Astyanax mexicanus: one gene and its partner. The protein of the gene in region 1 interacts with the protein of each later gene in a pairwise test. Links are inferred from orthologs where the notes say so. Each region holds a gene or a part of one and is shown on either strand. Other genes may lie near its edges. The genes, in order: mapk8ip3 and ldlrap1b.

Region 1 (8,662 bases):
AGAAAAAAATACTTTAAGAAATGAAGGTCAGTTAATCAAAAACATTAAAGAACTTTGAAAGTATTCTCAAGTGCAGTTACATCAAAGTTACCCGCCCAGATAAGAGCCCACCTAAATACTAAATTAATATTTTGGTTTGTTTAACACTTTTATGTTTCCTACATGAATCCTTATGTGTTCCCTCATAGTCGGGATGACTTCAGTATTCATTTACAATGAAAAAAATAAATAAAAACATGGAATAAGAAGTGTGTCCAAACCTTTGACTGGTACTGTACATAGTTGTCTGTTTTATACGGTTGTTGTCTGTTTTACACAGTTCAGAACCAGACCTGCTTATTAAGCTCCACTACCTAAAAGAAAGCCACCTAAAACAATTGGGATTGTAAAGTGTCATTTGTTGGGAATGCCTCCAATCTACTAACCCCCTGAATGAGTGAATAAACATTACTATGTATAAATAAAGACAAACAAAAAACATTGTGCAAACAGCATTTATGACTCTTCATTATTACTCTCAGGATGTTGTTGACACTAGACACTTTGCAACAAGAATGATATAGTTATGTATGTAATACAGAATGAATGTGACCTTATATAGCTATCAGTATGTACAAATTTGAATTAGTAAAGTTCATGACATTTTTAAAGAGCTCAAATATAGTTCGAAAAGCACTTCAGCTTTCTGACCTCAACTTCCTCAAAGCCAGAGTGAACGTGACCTATGTGTGTTTGTGGGCATGAGGATGAGCAGATACTGCGGCTACAATGTTCACAATGTGTCACAGCACCTCTGAGAGGGTTGCTAATCTATTGACAATACTTTAAAACTATCCAAAAAATGAAATATCTTGATAACTCTTCAAAACAGATTTTGAATTTCATAAGTCTGTTTGACACTGTCAAAAAGGGGGCAAAGCCAAGTGAATGTAACAATATTTGTCAAATGTGTTAGACGTCCACACCTTCCATAAAAAAAATCAGCATTTTTAAATATTGCAATATATATTAAAGAACAATAAAATATTAAAAATATATCTTTCCAATATCATGCAGCCCTATTCTGTAAATGCAGTGTCTGTTAGAATAAGGGTAAGCAAAATATTTGTTAATTGTGTTTAAAACAGCTCTAAAAGTGTTACTATGGTGACTAGTTAATTTACAACACTTCATTACAGGCAATGTGTGTTTACCAATGTCATACCTTTGGTAATGGTACTTCATAACAGTCCTGAAATAATGCCTAATGTCATAAAGTTGATTATACATCATAATAGGTTAGAATTGTGGGAGAGTTGTGTTATAACACTTCATGACAGCCATAAAAGTGATCACTCATTTGTTTACCACATTTTATAACAAGTCAGATGTTTAGCACTGTAAAACTCATAATTGTTGCTGAAATGATTCCCAATGACAATTAGGATGTCAATGTAAATATGAAAGTGTTGTAACACTCAACAGCCCTAAAATCAACCACACTTCCAACAGACCTTATGTTTACTTCCTTTTAGCCTTGAAATGATTCATAAAGTCATAAATGTACCTTCATAACACTTCATAACAGATTATAGATGGCAAAAAACTGTCTGACACTGTCAAAAAGACAGTCAAAACTGTCAAAAAGACCCTATGTGGCAATACAGCTTACTGTATGTGTGTGAGGGAATGAAGGCTTACAAAAATGTGTCATAACACCTAATAACAACAAGAAAAAATTAAGCACTAATTTGTTAACCACGTTTTATAACAGCTCAGACATTTAGCGGTGTGACATTGATGGGGATAACTAGTTTAAACCTCATAATATTGCTGAAATGATTGCCAGTGTCATAACACTGACTTTATAACACTTCATATAAGATTATAAATGGCATACAATCTGAGATAACAATAGTTGTGATATATTGTGTTATAACACTTCACAACAGCAGTAAAATCAACACTTTCAACAGAAATTGTGTTTACAACTGAAATAACTTAATACTTAATTATATCCTCGATTCCTAGTTCTATAAATTTGACTTCATAATAGAATAAAGGATTATTACATTATATTGCTGAAATGATTGCCAATCTCAGAACATTGACTTTGTAATACTTATAAATGGCATTAAGCTGCCTGACAGTGTCAAAAAGGGAGGGAAATCTGAGAGAAGGTGACCCTATGTGGCAATATTTGTGCTATATTGTGTTATAACACTTCACAGCAGCATTAAAACACTATTAACAGAAGTTATGTTTACAACAACCGAAATATTGTCGGAGATAACTTAATACTTCATTATAGCCCTAAAAATGATTCCTAGTTTAAAACATTTAACTCTATAAAACTGTTATAAAACAGCCTCTGGACGCCGTGCACTATACGTCAATCACGTTTACGTCAACTAACTCTAGCTTTACGTTAATTGACGTTAATTGACTCACCTCCTCGGCCTGCTTGCGTAGCGCCTTCTCGCGCTCGTACTGCGTGATGAGCTGCTCGTTGTCCTCCTTGAGCAGCTCGAGCTCCACCTCGTGCTCCTGGTTCTCAGTGAGCACGGCGTCCAGGTTCTCCAGCACGTTGACCACCAGCGGCATGAGCTCCTTCACCACCTCCTCGTCGTAGCTCCGGATGAGTCGCTCGAACTCGCGGTAGATGCTGTTGGCCAGGCCCGAGACGCGCTCGGACATGACGGACACTGAGCCGTAGTCGTCCTGGTAGACGACCTCGTCCAGCTGGAGCTCCATCATCTCGCCTGGAGGTGCGGTGGTGGAGATTTCCACCGAAAATCACAAAAAGAAAATGCTGGCCAAAGTAATGGAGGCGCTGTGGGAGCTAACTAGCGGTTCTCTGAGTCATCCAAATAAAACAGGGGGGCTTGGTTTCAGGAGCTAGCTGGTTAGCTCACTGTGTAGTTAGCTAGAGATATTTTAAAGGGGTGTCATCAGTTGGACGTGCCCCCACGTGTCTCCAGGGGTGCCCAGCAGCCTCATTCAGACAAGCGGTAGCTGGGTTAGCTAGTTAGTTGGCTGAACGTTAGGTAGATGTGAATGTGATGATGATGGGAGAGGAGCCGAGAGCTAAGCTAGCCTCTCTCCTTTCTCCCCCCCCACTCCCTGCGCCACAGCACGGCCTTAAAATCCCGATCTTTCCCCTTCTTCACACCCAGCTAATCCTCCGTTAGGTCCGTATCGGGTGAGGCTGGACTAGTCACCGGCGCTCCCGTTCCCACTCGGCCGGAATCCATCACATCACCGCCCGCGATGCACCTGCTGCTGAGCCGCCGCAGCCCGGGAGCCCAGCCATTACTGGGCGAAAAAAATCAATGGAGGATAAAAAAAAGAAAATAAATAAATAATATGGTAATAAATAGCTTACATACACTGGATTATGCTGGAGTAGCTGCCCCCATCACCACGACGTGGCGCAATCATTTCTCCTACAACATACTGGCAAATTCAGCTTTTTTGACATTTAAATAACCAACCTAGCTAGGTTAACTACAGACCCCAGCCCGGTGGATGATGTTGCGGCGGGGGGCGGCTGCTGCTGCTGTCCTCCTCCTCCTCTCGGCTGGGTGGGTAGGGAATCTCAGAGATCGCCCAGCCAGGCTACAGTGTGGGTGCGTTTATTTCATTTCCCACCTCTATTCAGACACGCCCCGCCCTCCACAGCTACGATTGGTTAATATATTCAATCTGCTGGGATTGATTGGCCAATGGTGCAAGCTCGCAAGCAGCACCAACAGCGCTAGGATTGGTCAGCAGGTCGTGCTCTATTTGCATAACGCTCGTGAGAATCTTCGCTGAGGTCCTGTTTGAGAATCCCGAGTAACAAGAAGAGGGCGGGGCTTGTCTGAAAACAAGTGCGGAATAAAAACAAATACCGCTGCATGGAGGGGAGGAGTCACCTGACCGTTCGGGGGTTACGTCACGGCGTCTGCAGCGAGCCAGCTCGTGCGGTGGCGTCATCATCACATTGTTCCTCCCACAGCAGGGCAGGCAGAGAATGGCATCCCTTCGGGAGAGGAAAAGGGGGATATTGAGAGAAATATGATCAAAATAGCAGACAGAGAGAGAGAGAGAGAGAGAGAGAGAGAGCATGGAAACCCATCCCAGTAATTTAGAATAGTCATTTTTTACTATTTCATTATTTTGAGATCCTATTTTGTTATTTTGAGATACTGTGTTGTTATATTAAGAGGCTAAGTCATTATTTTGATATACTAAGTCATTATATTTTGATGTACCAACGTAAAGCTCTATACTGACGGGATGAGTTTCTCAGGGGGTCCTGGGGTAATTTTCTCTTTTATGGGGGAGGGGGGAATAAAATCAGGGGGTCCTCTGTGATTTTATTCCCATCCGGAAAAAACTTGTATGCGTTTTTCTAAATCAGGGTTGCCAGGTCCGACAAATGTATCCAGCCCAATGTAGGTCTAAAACCCGCCCTTCAGAAGCTTAAATTAGCCCAAAATATATATCTGTCACACGTTTGAAGCAAATGGCAAAACAACTGAGTGTACAACTTAGTATTTTGTTTATAAGGGATTTAGTATCAGTATTGCTATTTATCATGAATTCATTAATAATATTGTAACATGAGTGTTTTATTAGTTCATTTATACGTTTTATATCCCAGTCAAGAACATTTCATAGTAACAATTAGCAAAAACAAAAAAAAATGACATTTTTAAATTATTTTTGTTCTTGCCCCTCCTGAACTCTCTTCTTTCCTCTTCAATATGGTTTTCATCGCCTGGTTATTTCTGTCTCTCTTTTACACTGTCCTCCCTTATGTTCTCCTGATTCTTCCAATGACATAAGATATAAGGCAACACCAACTTTTTTTTTTTTTTGGCGGCCATGATAATTTTTAAAAGTAGCCCAAAAAAACGCACACCACCACCCCTGACAATTTTCACCTGTGACAAGCCCAGTTTGGTGGAAAAACTGCAAACCAGGCAACTCTGCTCTTACTATTTTGAAAAGTTATTTGAAGAATTTTTTGCTGCAGTTTTATTAAATCCTATTCCTTATTCTGCCAGGCTGTTGTCATGTGGTTGCCATGATGTTGCTTTGCAGTGTGCAACACTAATTAGCATAGCGTTCCCTAAATGGTTTCCGTCTACAAAATGCTAGGCCCAGTGCACTTGTCTGGATATTTTTAAAACCCTTGAAGAACATGGTGAAAGGAGGGTAATAACATGAAATACAACAGAACGACAACAGTCTGTCATTATAAAAATGCATAAATTATTTGGGAAAACAAGGGCATTGTCAATTATATGCTTGATCGGTGCAAATGACCACCATTTCTCAATGTTTAAAAGTAAACATGATTAATTGTTTTAATTAAAATAGACAAAGGTTTTTACAAAATGTTCTATATATTTTTTTTACAGGACTGTATATCGATTACATATATATCTGTGGTATTTCCTGCTTAAGTCTCCTCTCATTTGGTTGAATGAACAATGTTATCATTTCTGTAAAAATCAAATGAGAAAATTACCTAGGCAAAACACATTCAAACGTATCTATTATAAACAGAGGTAAATAAAATTAATAATTGATTGCGAAGTCTCAAACATTATTATTATTTTTTAATCTGTTTACTCCTTGAATGAGTAACCGCAAACACATATGAGCTAAGCAGAAAGAAACAATGCAGTAGGCTGTAGCGTATGAATCATCAAAATAGATGTTTATTACAGACGTTTGTGACATTGCCTCAATACCACACTGGCACTTTGGGCAGGGCAGACAGCAGTATGTGAGAAAAAACACTTTTCACACCAATGTGTTACAAGCTGGGCCTTCCCAATGCTGCTGTGCTTTATAATGACAGGCTAAAGTGAAGGTAGAAAAACAAATCAAATGAAATGTTTTTCATACAATAACCGAAAACTAACTTAGTACACTTTGGCATTCGGTACAAAACAGGACTCCCAGAGCTTCTACTTTTTGTGTGCATTTGGTATTCACAGGGATTTATGTCCTAATATCAGGAGGGCCCATCTTTAGTCCTAGGGGTACAGGGTTTGACAGTTTTTGCTTAAACACATTTGATTTAATTCATTTACAGCAATTCATTACTAAGTTTAGTAGGTGGGTCAAGTTACATGCAGTGCTAGACACTAGCACCTCTAGGACTTATGATGGACACCTCTGCCTGAAAACCATGAGATTTAATGACTGTACAAATACAACATTAATTAAACAAAAAAATAAAAATAAAAGATAGTCAAACAGATTTACACTTGAATTTGTTAAGGAATACTTCAGTATTTAGACTAACCTCTATCTGACAACTGTAGCACACAAACTTTTGTATCATGCATTTTTACCCCACCTAATCACTAGGAATTCACCAATGACTTGCAGTGCTACCGACATCATAATGGTCACATGCCTCCTTCAATAATGTGAAATTAGACACTGATGGCAAAGCAGCATGACCAGAGATTAAAGGTCATGATCCTCAGGCCACAGTCAGCATCTTCCAAGCCACTGACTTAAGCACATTTATAGTTAAAAGACAATGGGCAGATATTTTAGTATTGCCTATTGCTTCCTATTATTAGAATGTTTTGTATTAACAGCATCAAAATCTTTGTAGCTCCAGAATGGTAACTGCCTAATGGTCCATTTACCATGAAACCATAAAACAATGTAAAGAACCAATGGCAGCTTCAGATCACAATCATTGGGGCGAAATAAAAAAAACGTTTTTTGTTTTTAACCTTTTTAAAGCTATGGCAGTTAGATGTCAGTAAGAACACTGTAGTATATTCATATAAAGCACTATATGCATTGTAGAGGGTCACCATACACTTGACAGTACTTCAGTTGTATTGATGACCTCTTTATAATTGTTTGTTTATGTGCTTTGGTTTAGTGTATTCATGGAAAACCTACTATACATGGGAGTGGATTCGTTTCAGTATGTTGACACCTTTGCTTTTGCCTGCATTTCCCTGAACAGTGTGTGTTCTTAAGTACATTGTCTTACATCTAAAAACATTGTCACCAGGTCTCCCATCAGGTCCTCCACCAGGTCCTCGAATCCCTATTCTCCCTGAGAACCCAGTGGCATTACAATCAATCAATCACTTAACAGAAAGGCAGAAAGAGAACAAGTCACAAGATCAATAGGAGCTGCTTCCAGCATGGCTGCAAGTCACGATGAGCGAAAAAGAACGCTCACCAAAGTTTCAGAGGTATGTTAGAACAAACTGCCCCAGACCCAGTCCTGAGAACCTACTGCAGTGCACTTATTACAAGCCCTTTTTTCTGAATGAAATCAGGTGTGCAAAACCCCCATTCACACCTGGCATAAACATGCATCCTGGGTGATCCAATCATAAATGTTATAAATGGCCAGTAATGTAATGTCTCAAGGATTACATTTTTACCGCAATCTGGTCACTCAAAACACATACGGATGTTGTCAGAGACACAGAAGACCACATTATTGTTGTAGTATTAACACCAAAGGGTCGTGATGTGCCCACATTAACCAGGTCACTGACAAACCATAAAGAATAACCGTAATACTGCCATCCGTCCACCCCCCGCAAGGGTTAGCTGAGCATGCTACAATAACAATGAAATGGAAAATGACGATACTTGCGTGCTGAGGACTCAAACCACACTAATAGATGACTTACAGTAACCACCCAGTCTCCTTTAATGAAAAGTATGTAAGAAATCCAATCAAAAGTGCTCAAAAGAGATGCATTTAAAACCCCAGGTTTAAACACCTATGCATTTAATCAACCATTTGCAATCAGATCACTCTGGATGCATGTATGACAACGGCAGTTGGTAACGGGGGTTTAAAAGTGCTAAAAACCAGGCAGACCAGTAGGACCTCCAAGACAGAGGGTCAGGTACCACTGCATTAACACAAGTGAGTTTCCCACAGTGGAAACAGACAGACAGTGGTTCCAGTTGAACGATACACAGACGCCAATCAGTTACGTCGTAATCATAAATCATGAGAGTATGATTGTATTTCTATACATTATCAAAGTCAGAGAGCATCTTCACAATCAGCACACACACTCAGCTGATCCTGACTGGATCAAAATGAACCATTTGACTGAGTCAACCATTGGATTGAGGCAGAAACCGATCACTCAAACCCTCCTATATGAACATACAAAAACAAACAAAAAAAAAAAGCAGAATGAGTGTATAGGAATGGGTTAGAAAGTGCAAGAGTTAAGGAATGAGAGAAAGAAGCCACTGTAAGAAAATATAAAGAAACAAAACAACAAAAAAGAAGACTGGACAAACTAAGAAACGTACGAGCAAAGTAAGAAAGAAGCATAGTTAGCAGTGTTAGTAAGAGAGAACGGAGTGAGTGGGGAAGCGAGAGATAAGTGGCACTGGTCAGTAGAAGACCACGCTGGATTTTCCACCAGGGGGGTTCAGCACTCTGTTGTGCGAGCGAGGAACCGGTGCAAGGCGTGGCTCGTGGTCCTTCTCTGATGGATGTGGTGAAAGCTTAGCATCTGGGGTGGCTGTGGGGGTTGCTGTGGGTGCAGCCGGAGGGTCCTCCTTTACAGGTGTTGGTTGAGGTGTAACAGGCACCTTCACTTCTTCAACTGCTTTCGGCTGAGGGGCTGAACAAGAAAAGGTTGGATGCGTGATACGGTTATAAATTTTA
Region 2 (9,345 bases), on another chromosome or scaffold:
ATGCCAGAACAGGCTGCCTGCAAGGAATGAGTGTGCTGAATAATGTTGATACATTCCTAAAAATAAATGTGCTCCAGATAGTTCCAAAATTGGGGATAATGTCCTCAAGCCAAGTTCGAGAACATTATAATGTATAACTTGTATTATAATTCAAAGCCATACCCTGTATACTGCTTACATATTTCAGATAAGGGACTCTCGCATTGGTATTTAGGCAACAGCGTTAACAACATACACCCCCTACCTTTTTTTATTCTAATTTTTATCCCATTTTCTCCCCAATTTACAAGGCCAACTACACAACTTACTCATTAGGACTCCTCCCAATACTAGTGATGCCCCCAACACTAGGAGGGTGAAGATGCCGAGTGGCCAAGTTGCATCACAGCGCGCTCAGATGAAAGCACAGCGACTCGGTTCTGATAAATCAGCTCACAGATGCCTCGTGCTGATCGACATCACCCTAGAAGTGATGAGGGAGGAGAGTGCCATCTACCCATCCAGAGAGAGTGAGGCCAATTGTGTTTCTTTGGGGCTTCAAAAGCTGATGGCAAGCTGCATAAATAGGATTCAAATCAGCAATCTCCTGATCACAGTGGCAGCGCTTACCCCACTGGACCACTCAGAGCCCTAAAACCCCATTGTTCATAGGGCTGGATGATAGGGCCAAAATTAATATCTCAATACACATTTTTTTTAATTTTGGTATCTTATATGAAATATTGTCTGAATATAAAAGCCCCAGAAAAACTGCCAAGAACGCACACAATGGTTATCTGCACCCAAAAACGTTACCAGTTCACATTACTTGGCCTGTAATAAACAGACATCAGTGACATGCTGTAAATAATAACTTAAATATCAGAAATGTGTTTCAAAAATCAAACCATTTTTAAAATGAATTGCAATATATGTATTGATCAAAAATTATTGTCTAGGTCTAAGTGTTTCTTAACTGCTAAATGTTGACATCACTGGAGGCAATAGCCAAAATCTACACAATCTAGTCCTACAGTTATAGCGAGGCTGGCACGAGCCTCGGGAACTGGCCTCTCTCCATACATTCCTCCACCTATTCAACTAAATGGAGCTCTGGAACAGACGGCCATCCTGTCAAAAGCCTGCTGTCCTCCGTGAGCCAAACGCAGGCGTGAGTAAACAAAACAGCTGATGGCACCCAAACGTGGCGCGTGCTGCCACAGGCAACCAGAGCGTTCAATACGTGTCTAAGAGTGGCAGTGAGCCTAACCAAGTCAAACAAAAGGGGTCAGTGAGCAGCTAAGCTTCCCTTTGTGAAAACCACATGGCTGCAGTGTGACTAAACCAAGCTGACCAGCTGACTGGCCACGCAGCGCTGTCTGGAGCGCTCACACGCTGAGCTGGAGATCAAAAGCTTCAGCTGAATCCTGTGGGGTAGCAGGAACAGTGTTTTTTAAAAGCCGGCTGCCGCTTCTGTGCTGTACTGAACACATTACTGCATGTTTGATGGTCTCCGACACCATTCTTCATACGGCAGCCAAATATACCATGTATATGCACATATATAATAACGTCTAAGCATGTCTGGATGAAGGTGAATGAGGGCATGTAATCTTGTCCTACGACGAAGGCCAAAAAAGCATTGCCTAGCAACACTGGGTTGCCAAGAAATGCTGTGTGCTTCGGTCACGGACTTGCATAGAGCTGTAATGTCAAGCACAGGCTTGGGTCCTCACTGCATATCTTCCTTCAAGACTCCCCCCGATGTGCACTCCAACATGATCTTTCCATGAAGCCCCTTGAAGATCAGCTTGGGCAGTATTGAGAGTGACATTGTGACACTCAGGGCTAAAATGTAACATACTGAGAAGCTCTAAAACATTCATTTACCAGTCTAATATGAGCTACTGGTCACTGTACATGTATATAATAAGTGAGAGAGGAGAGCCAGAGATGACGATACATGGCTCAACCCAAAAAAAGGACCGCATCACAGTTACACAAAATTCTAACTGAGTTGTTCTTTGTATTGTGTGAAAATTTTACAAAGTATCTGTTAAAATAAACCTACAGTTTTATAACCTAGCTAAGCCAGTGGATAAGCATTAGCTGCATTAGAGCTCAGTTAGCATGTAAGCTATCCTAACATATCCAACTAACCTAGGTTATAAAACTGTTATTATGTTATTATGAGGTTTATTTTAACAAATACTTTCATAGGTGATATTTTTAAAACACTGGCTGTCTTTGGGTCCTTGCTGTTGCTGTTATCTGCTAAAAATATTGTCAAATATTGGTGATATGCTGCAAAAGATGAGCTAATTTTGCATCTTTGAATAAAACCTTCATTAGTGATGATTTTACTACACTTCACACAGTTTACTTATCTTGTGTATAACATGTTAAAGCAGAACTCTAGTGTGAAATAAATTTGGGGTGTAGTGAAACATGATAACAAATATAACCTTTTGTAAAATAGTTCATTTCTGTTTACTCACAGCTTGCCGAAATACAGTGCTTTTAGCTGATGCTCCCAACAGGCTTAAAATACTAGAGGCATAGAGTAACCCTATCACTAGAGTTAAAACACTATTTTCTTCCCTAGCTCTTTGTTTGTGCTCAGCAGTCGACTTACATTGACTTAATTTCAAGATTCTGGCTCCCAGAAAACTACCTGAAGGTACTGTATGTATAAACAATGTTTTAGTAAACTAGTGCTTTGTTTTAAATGTCAGGACCCTCAGAATTCCTCCAATGAAGTGTGGAGCTACTTTAAGTTTGTTAATGAGGTAAAAATTGTGATTTCTTTGAGTAGGCATCACTATGCCCCTATTTCTAACACTGTAGTCTTAAGCCTGTTGGGAACATAGACGAAAAGCTCTGTATTTGAGAATGCTGGGGACGAATGTAAGTGTTCTATTCTACAAAAGTTTATATTTATTATCATGTTTCACTACACCATGAAAGTTCATTTCTCGCTGTAGTCCTGCTTTAACATGTTATCCACAAGAAAAGTAAACTGTAAAATGTAATTACAGTGTAGTAAAATCATCAAGCAATGAAATGCAAAATTATATCGTCCTTAGCAGCATATTAGCACTATTTTACACTAATTTAAGCAAATAAATATAACAGCAAAGGAACCAAACACAGCATTTCAAACCGTTAAAGTATCTTTTTTTTAAATCTCAGTTTTATATCCGTTAGCTAGGTTAGTTAGCTTAAATGCTAACTGAGCACTAATGCAGCTAACTCTAAATAACAAAACTAGCCTTAGTTAGCTAAGCTATTAGCTATCTTTAGTCTAACCTACCTTTCAGCTTCTAAAGAGACATAACTTAAACAGCACAGCTACGTAACTATTAATCCTACTGTAATAAATTAGCCTAGCTAGCTCTGAAACACACGCTCCGCTCAGATAAGTACAAATAAAGCGGTTTATGTTTACTAAACACAACTTTACACTCCTGTGTAAACCGCCTGTCAGTTAGTAAGTTAATTAACTAGCTACGTTAACTGATTAGCTAGTTGACGTAAAGTTTGCATGACGGTAACGTAACTAACGTAGCTTTAAACCGCTGACAGCAAACTTACATAGTAAAACACGGCTACTAACGCTACTATCTCAACAACATTAACACATAAACACGTTATAACAGCACAGCCCGCTGTAAAAACGTAACGTTACATTACAGCGACATGTTTTAAATGTAGCTGGGATAACTCACTTTTGTGTTTTCCCGAGGTCCAGCTCTGCTTGGCCAGGCTGGGGCTCCGGATGATCGCCCTGCCCGCCGATTTTAAAGCGTCCATAGTTGGGTATGAGGAGGGGGACAGAGCCCGCGGACCCCCGGCTTCCTCCTCCGCGCTCTCAAAGCGGTGAACTCGACGGTCCGCGCGAGAGAAAACTTTTTATTTATTTATTTATCACTGTATCTGGCCGCTGGCCGCCCCGCTCCCTCCTCCCCTGCTTTCCGCCCGGAGAGAATCCAGCCTGGACGGATTAGCGCGCTCGCCGGTGGTGGGCAGGGCCAAATATGCAAATGAGACCAATCGCGCCGCGTCGTGACGTGTCGGCGCCGGCGTGTGGGCGGGGCTTCAGCGGAATACATTACCGCCCCACGTTAGAGCTGATATAAAACACAAAGACCCAAATGATCAGTAGGTAAAACATTAATATTTACAGACTTAAAACGTGCCCACAGTTTAATAAACGTCCAAACTGAAGAAAGGGATTGTTAAATTGAGGAAATACTTGAAATGAATGGAACAGTTTTAGTTTATTAAATTAAAGTAATGATTTATTACAATAAAATTAACAGATCATATAATCAAGGGAATGTTTTAATAATGTAAAAGAACTACAAATGCACATTAATTATATCAACACCATCCAGAAACTGCACCATCTTCTCTGAACCAAAGCTCATTTAAAACAGACTAAAGCAAAGAAAGAACTGTTCTAGGACCAGATTAATCTAAATGTAACATTTTAAATGACTGGATATTGATACTTTTGGACATTTAGTATAGTGTAGCTAGTTTACCATTTGTTGCTCAATGGTTGATTACGCATTTGGCTGTTTTGACACTGGCATGCACACTCCAGCTCTTCTCATTGGTCAGGAATGCTGGAGGACCAGATTCTTTCACCCTCAGATAAAGCCTGAATCAACTCAGGAGATACCGAGGCGTGCCCTGGTGTTCTCGCTGTTCCTCCCCCACAGAAACCTGCACAGGTTTATTGATTGTCTCTAAGGGAGACAAATGCTTATCTAAACAGTCTTTGGTAGGTTGATCAGAAGTGACTTGGAGAACCTGCCACTCACTGTCTGGCCTATCCAAAATCTGCTCCCGCATGAGCTTCTAAAGCTGGAGCTGATTGACATGCAGCCAAGCCTTTTCTCCAAGAAACGCCCGTCCTCTGTTTCCCTTTGTGTTTCCCTGGAAAACTGCTCATGTGGAATGAGAGAAAAAAAGCAGGAATAAATTTCAGATCAGGTTGAGGGGAGGGATGGAATACTTACACTCAAAAACCCGGGTTTCAAGCGTTTGAAATAGATTTAAAATGGTATTGCTTGTAGGTGTTATTAGATCTTACAATAATTCATTTTGATGCTACTATGAATTCATTTTTATCATGAATATACTTCTCTCAATTAATACAATCTTATCTCTCAACATCACAACAAAGCCAGAGGAGAAACCTCTCAGAACATCTTTAAAGCCAAAACTGACTCACTGTGAATCTGTTTGTGGTTTATGGCCTTTAAACCAGAAACAAATTATTTAATTTTCTCTTTTTAAAACTGATAAGTTGCTAGCTTTGCTACCAACCATCCAACACCCATACTATAGTAACACCTTAGCAACCAACAGCTATGCCATAGCACCACTGTAGCAACTACCTAGCAATGCCTGTACAACCAACATCCATACTGTTGTAACGCTGTCACAACCACCTATCAAAGTTATAAACTAGTCATAAACTATATTTTCATTTAAGCCGAAAAACACAATTAAATTGATGTGAAAAATGTAAAACGTTTATCTCTTTGCCTTAGTCTGTTTTAAATGAGTTTTGGTCCAGAGAAGACGGCACAGTTTCTGGATGGTGTTGACATAATGCTTCTTCTTTGAATGATACAGGTTTAACTTGCATTGGCAGATATTTAAATAAATAATACAGGATCAGGACAGTACCCATCCTGAATCACTAGTCCTGTTTTATATGCAATGCCAGCTGAGGACCCAAAGATCACTGGCATTCAATACAGAGTGTTGGCCTTGTCTATTTTCCCTCCAGATTAATTTAATCTTTTGATGATATTATGCACTGTAGACGGTGGGATAGCCAATTTTTTTTGTCATTGTTCCACAGTTGCATTCTCACGGCTTTAACAGAGACAGACAGACAAAGTGACAGACAGACAGACAGACAGACAGACAGATAGATAGATTTTCCTCTGTGGCTGTATTTTTTGATAGGGTGCCCACAAAGACATACAGGATAATTGTGTGCTTAAGCTTGAACTCACAGCTGAGATCTGTATCCTCCTGTGTATTACGTCAAATTTTCACCGGACACTTCCGTTCCACCGCAGAGCTTAAAACCAGACCACAAAACATGCCAAGGGGATTATCAGCGCAGCACGTGGCGGGCACTGTGTCTTCTATTTCTCAGCCCAGCAGGATCTGCCCACACTCTGGGGTCAGCAGCAGCCAGATACACACTGTGTACACAGATCCACGTAATCTCATCTGCAGATAAATCTGAGACGGTGGAAGTGCACAGAGGCCTGACATTCAGTACAGAGAGAAACATAGATCCCATAACACCAGAGTTACACCAGGCTCAAGAGGTTCAGCTTTAAATGGATGAAAATAAAAAGTGTGCATTAAAGTCACAGTTTGAGCAAAAGTCAGAAATTCTCAGTTCTCAGGAAGGTCATGACCAGGGATATCCCTATCAAATCCAGTGGCTCTAAGTCCGGTACTGAGGAGAGTCCTCAGAAGATAAATTTAAGAGTGTTTTCACACCTGTAGTTGGTTTCTATGGTCTGGATCAGTTGATAAGTTTGTTTACTTGGAGCTTTTTTCCCTCTGTTTGGTTTGGTTTCACACAGGCACAAACATTAACGCACCACACTGTCTCCTCTGATTGGACTGAGCTGTCTGGCGCAGGAGCAAGTTAGGTCCTACCAAAAGAGGTGGTTTCGGTCAGAAATAATCTGAAACTGGTTTAATTTGTTTAAGGGATTCATTTATTTTACTAGTTACAGGAGTGTGCTCCATACTGTTTACACGCACCATGTGTGCTGCGTTCACTGCTCGCAGTTGTGTGACTCTGTTTACTATATGTAATTCTGTGCTGCATGTCCCATTGAAAACACTGTGTTTAAATGCACAGCTCCAATTTTTTCAGCATTGTGTGTTAAAGCAGCTTTCCAATGCACAGACATACGCGCTGGAACACAGAATTTTCTTGCTTTGGGCTGTGGTTTGCAATACCTTTAACACCTGCTATTTTGGATCTGACCAAATTTTATAAAGCTTCATCTGGATTGAAAAAGGTAGGTGTAAAAAACTTTCAGTTATATATATATATTTTTTGCCAAACCATTGCTTTAAATATCTTTATGTTAAGAGTACTATATTTTAAAATAGACCTCTGAAAGCAAGGTATGGCTGTGTGGAATTCTTATGGTTATGGCCAGGAAGCAAACATGAAGTGTAAAATTGGAAGGAGTGCTCAGAATAAAGAGTTATGAATCTCCATAATGAATACTAATGAGGCTCCAACTGCCTAACAAAGAGCAAGGCTGTGTTTCCATTCTGCTCCTTCCATTTCCGTCAGCATGTCCACTACAAACCATGAGCACACAGGTTCCAGACGCAGCAGGCCATGCAGCCTTTAGACTCATAAATCCTTCAGTAATTATTAAACATCTCAGAATCCACCATTCCAAGACTCTTGGAAGGGATGCATAAAGAGAGGCACACACGCTCCTGAATTATTAATACCTCCATATGTTAATCAAAGCTGCTCTGATACTGTGAACACAGGCAGTTATATGACCTCGTGCTGGCAGTGTAGGCCTCACACCAGGGTTAGATGGTTTTGAGGCCCAAACATCTGTCAGTATGTCTGTGGTCCAGCCTCATCCACTGCGATTCTCACAGCAGGTCCAGTCCTGCCCCTCGGCTCATGGTCATTCATATTTAATTGTCTCGGGCTGCTCTCGTTTTAATCCATATAATGCCTTTAAAAGTCGGCCACTGAAGACGGTTCCTCAGCTCAGCTTCAGGATCCTGAGGTTGGTTTCCATTGCCTGCAGGGCACTATAGTGGAAATAGGAGGATCCGAGCAGTTTTGGTGCTTGGACCCCTAACAAAGATAGAGGTTCGAGATAGAGCTGGCTCAGAAACAGATGCTTTTATCAGAGCAGACTCAGGATTTTTCTTATTTTTGCTTAAATGTTTAAATAATATCAATTAAATATTTTAAATGCCAGCTCAACATTAGCTAGCTGTTCCATCTTGATGTCTGTAAGTTTTGGGATTTGGGGGATTTAGTGCCCTCTCTGGTGAGAATGAGTAATTGCACCGAGAATGTGGAAGAATCATTTTAAACTGGGCGGGTGTGATGCTTTCAGAGCGGATAAACCGATTCCAGGTTTTATTCAATCAGAGAAAAAGAGAGAGAGCACGCTCAGTCAACCTTTTACAACAGTCTTTATGTTTTAATGCCAATATTTCCATCTCAATACCAGACTCTTGTTCTTGGTGCCGTTCTTGCAATCTTATCAACATTCTTTCCATCCCAACACCAGTCAAGCCACTTTAACATCAATACTAGCCTTTCCATTTTTTAAGGTCATCTATCCTTCCATTATAATGTCAAGCCTTCCACCTAAACCCCATTCTTTTCATTTCAGTACCATTTCTGTACTAGTTCTTTTCCTTACTAATATTTCTTACACCTCCAATTTTTCCTCCCAATTTACTTACGCCATTTTAACTGAGCTGTATATCCCCCATCTCTGGTGATGCCACAACACAAGGAGGGTGAGGACTAGCACACGCCTCCTCCGACACATGTGAAGTCAGACTCTGCCTCTTTTTGAACTGCTGCTGCTTTAGTATTACCAAGTAGCATCACAGCATACTCGGAGGTAAGCGCTGCAACTCTGTTCTGATACATCAGCTCACAGACGCAGGCTTGTGCTGATCAACATCACCCTTAGAGTGACGGAGGGAAAGAGCACCATCTATTTACCCACCCAGATAGAGCAAGGATCCAATTGTGCTCTCTCAGGGCTCCGGCAGCTGATGGCAAGCTGCATGACCAGGATTTGAACCAACAATCTCTCTATCATAGTCTTTTACCTCAACACCAATTGTGAATCCTTTCAACTCAACTCAGAGTGAGAGTTAGAGGATGAGACTGTCTGAAGAAGGTCTCTTCACAGTCCTGCCTGCCGGGTTTAGTAGGTTAATTGTGTGCATTATTCCAGCTGGTGGACGTAAAGCCTTATTTCTCAGAAGTGCAGCAGCCATTTATTCATGTGTTTCTACAGCCTGCTGTACATAATAAACAGAGCCGAGGATCAGGACTTTCAGCAGATTCTCTTCTCTTATTACTCCTCTCCACCTAAACCCACAGCGCGAGGGCGGGTTCAGCCCCAGGCCTCAGCAGCTTTCTGAGCGTGCTCTGTAGTAATTGTGTTTTACTGAAGAAAGCAAAGCAGAGAGATAAAGCAGGAGTGTGTGTAAGTGTGTGTTGTGTGTATGTGTGTGTGTAAAATGCAGAGAAATAGGGATACTCTTCACATTCTCAAACTAGTCTCTGGATTGAGGTCATCT

What was found.
Region 2: the proteins of mapk8ip3 (region 1) and ldlrap1b interact in binary tests that used the Homo sapiens proteins (3 or more experiments, as listed by UniProt). The two-hybrid records come from large-scale screens. The link is inferred for Astyanax mexicanus from reciprocal best matches to the Homo sapiens genes MAPK8IP3 and LDLRAP1.

The regions. Positions count from the first base shown.
Region 1 is NC_064426.1:27,609,715-27,618,376, forward strand, and holds the start of mapk8ip3 (C-Jun-amino-terminal kinase-interacting protein 3), read right to left. Parts: upstream 3,603-8,662; 5' UTR 3,474-3,602; exon of another isoform or gene 3,295-3,473; 5' UTR 2,737-3,294; coding exon 2,431-2,736; intron 1-2,430. Other genes in the region: jpt2 (jupiter microtubule associated homolog 2), read right to left, coding at 8,386-8,618.
Region 2 is NC_064414.1:4,339,564-4,348,908, reverse strand, and holds the start of ldlrap1b (low density lipoprotein receptor adapter protein 1b), read right to left. Parts: upstream 3,972-9,345; 5' UTR 3,793-3,971; coding exon 3,708-3,792; intron 1-3,707. UniProt on the Homo sapiens protein: Adapter protein (clathrin-associated sorting protein (CLASP)) required for efficient endocytosis of the LDL receptor (LDLR) in polarized cells such as hepatocytes and lymphocytes, but not in non-polarized cells (fibroblasts).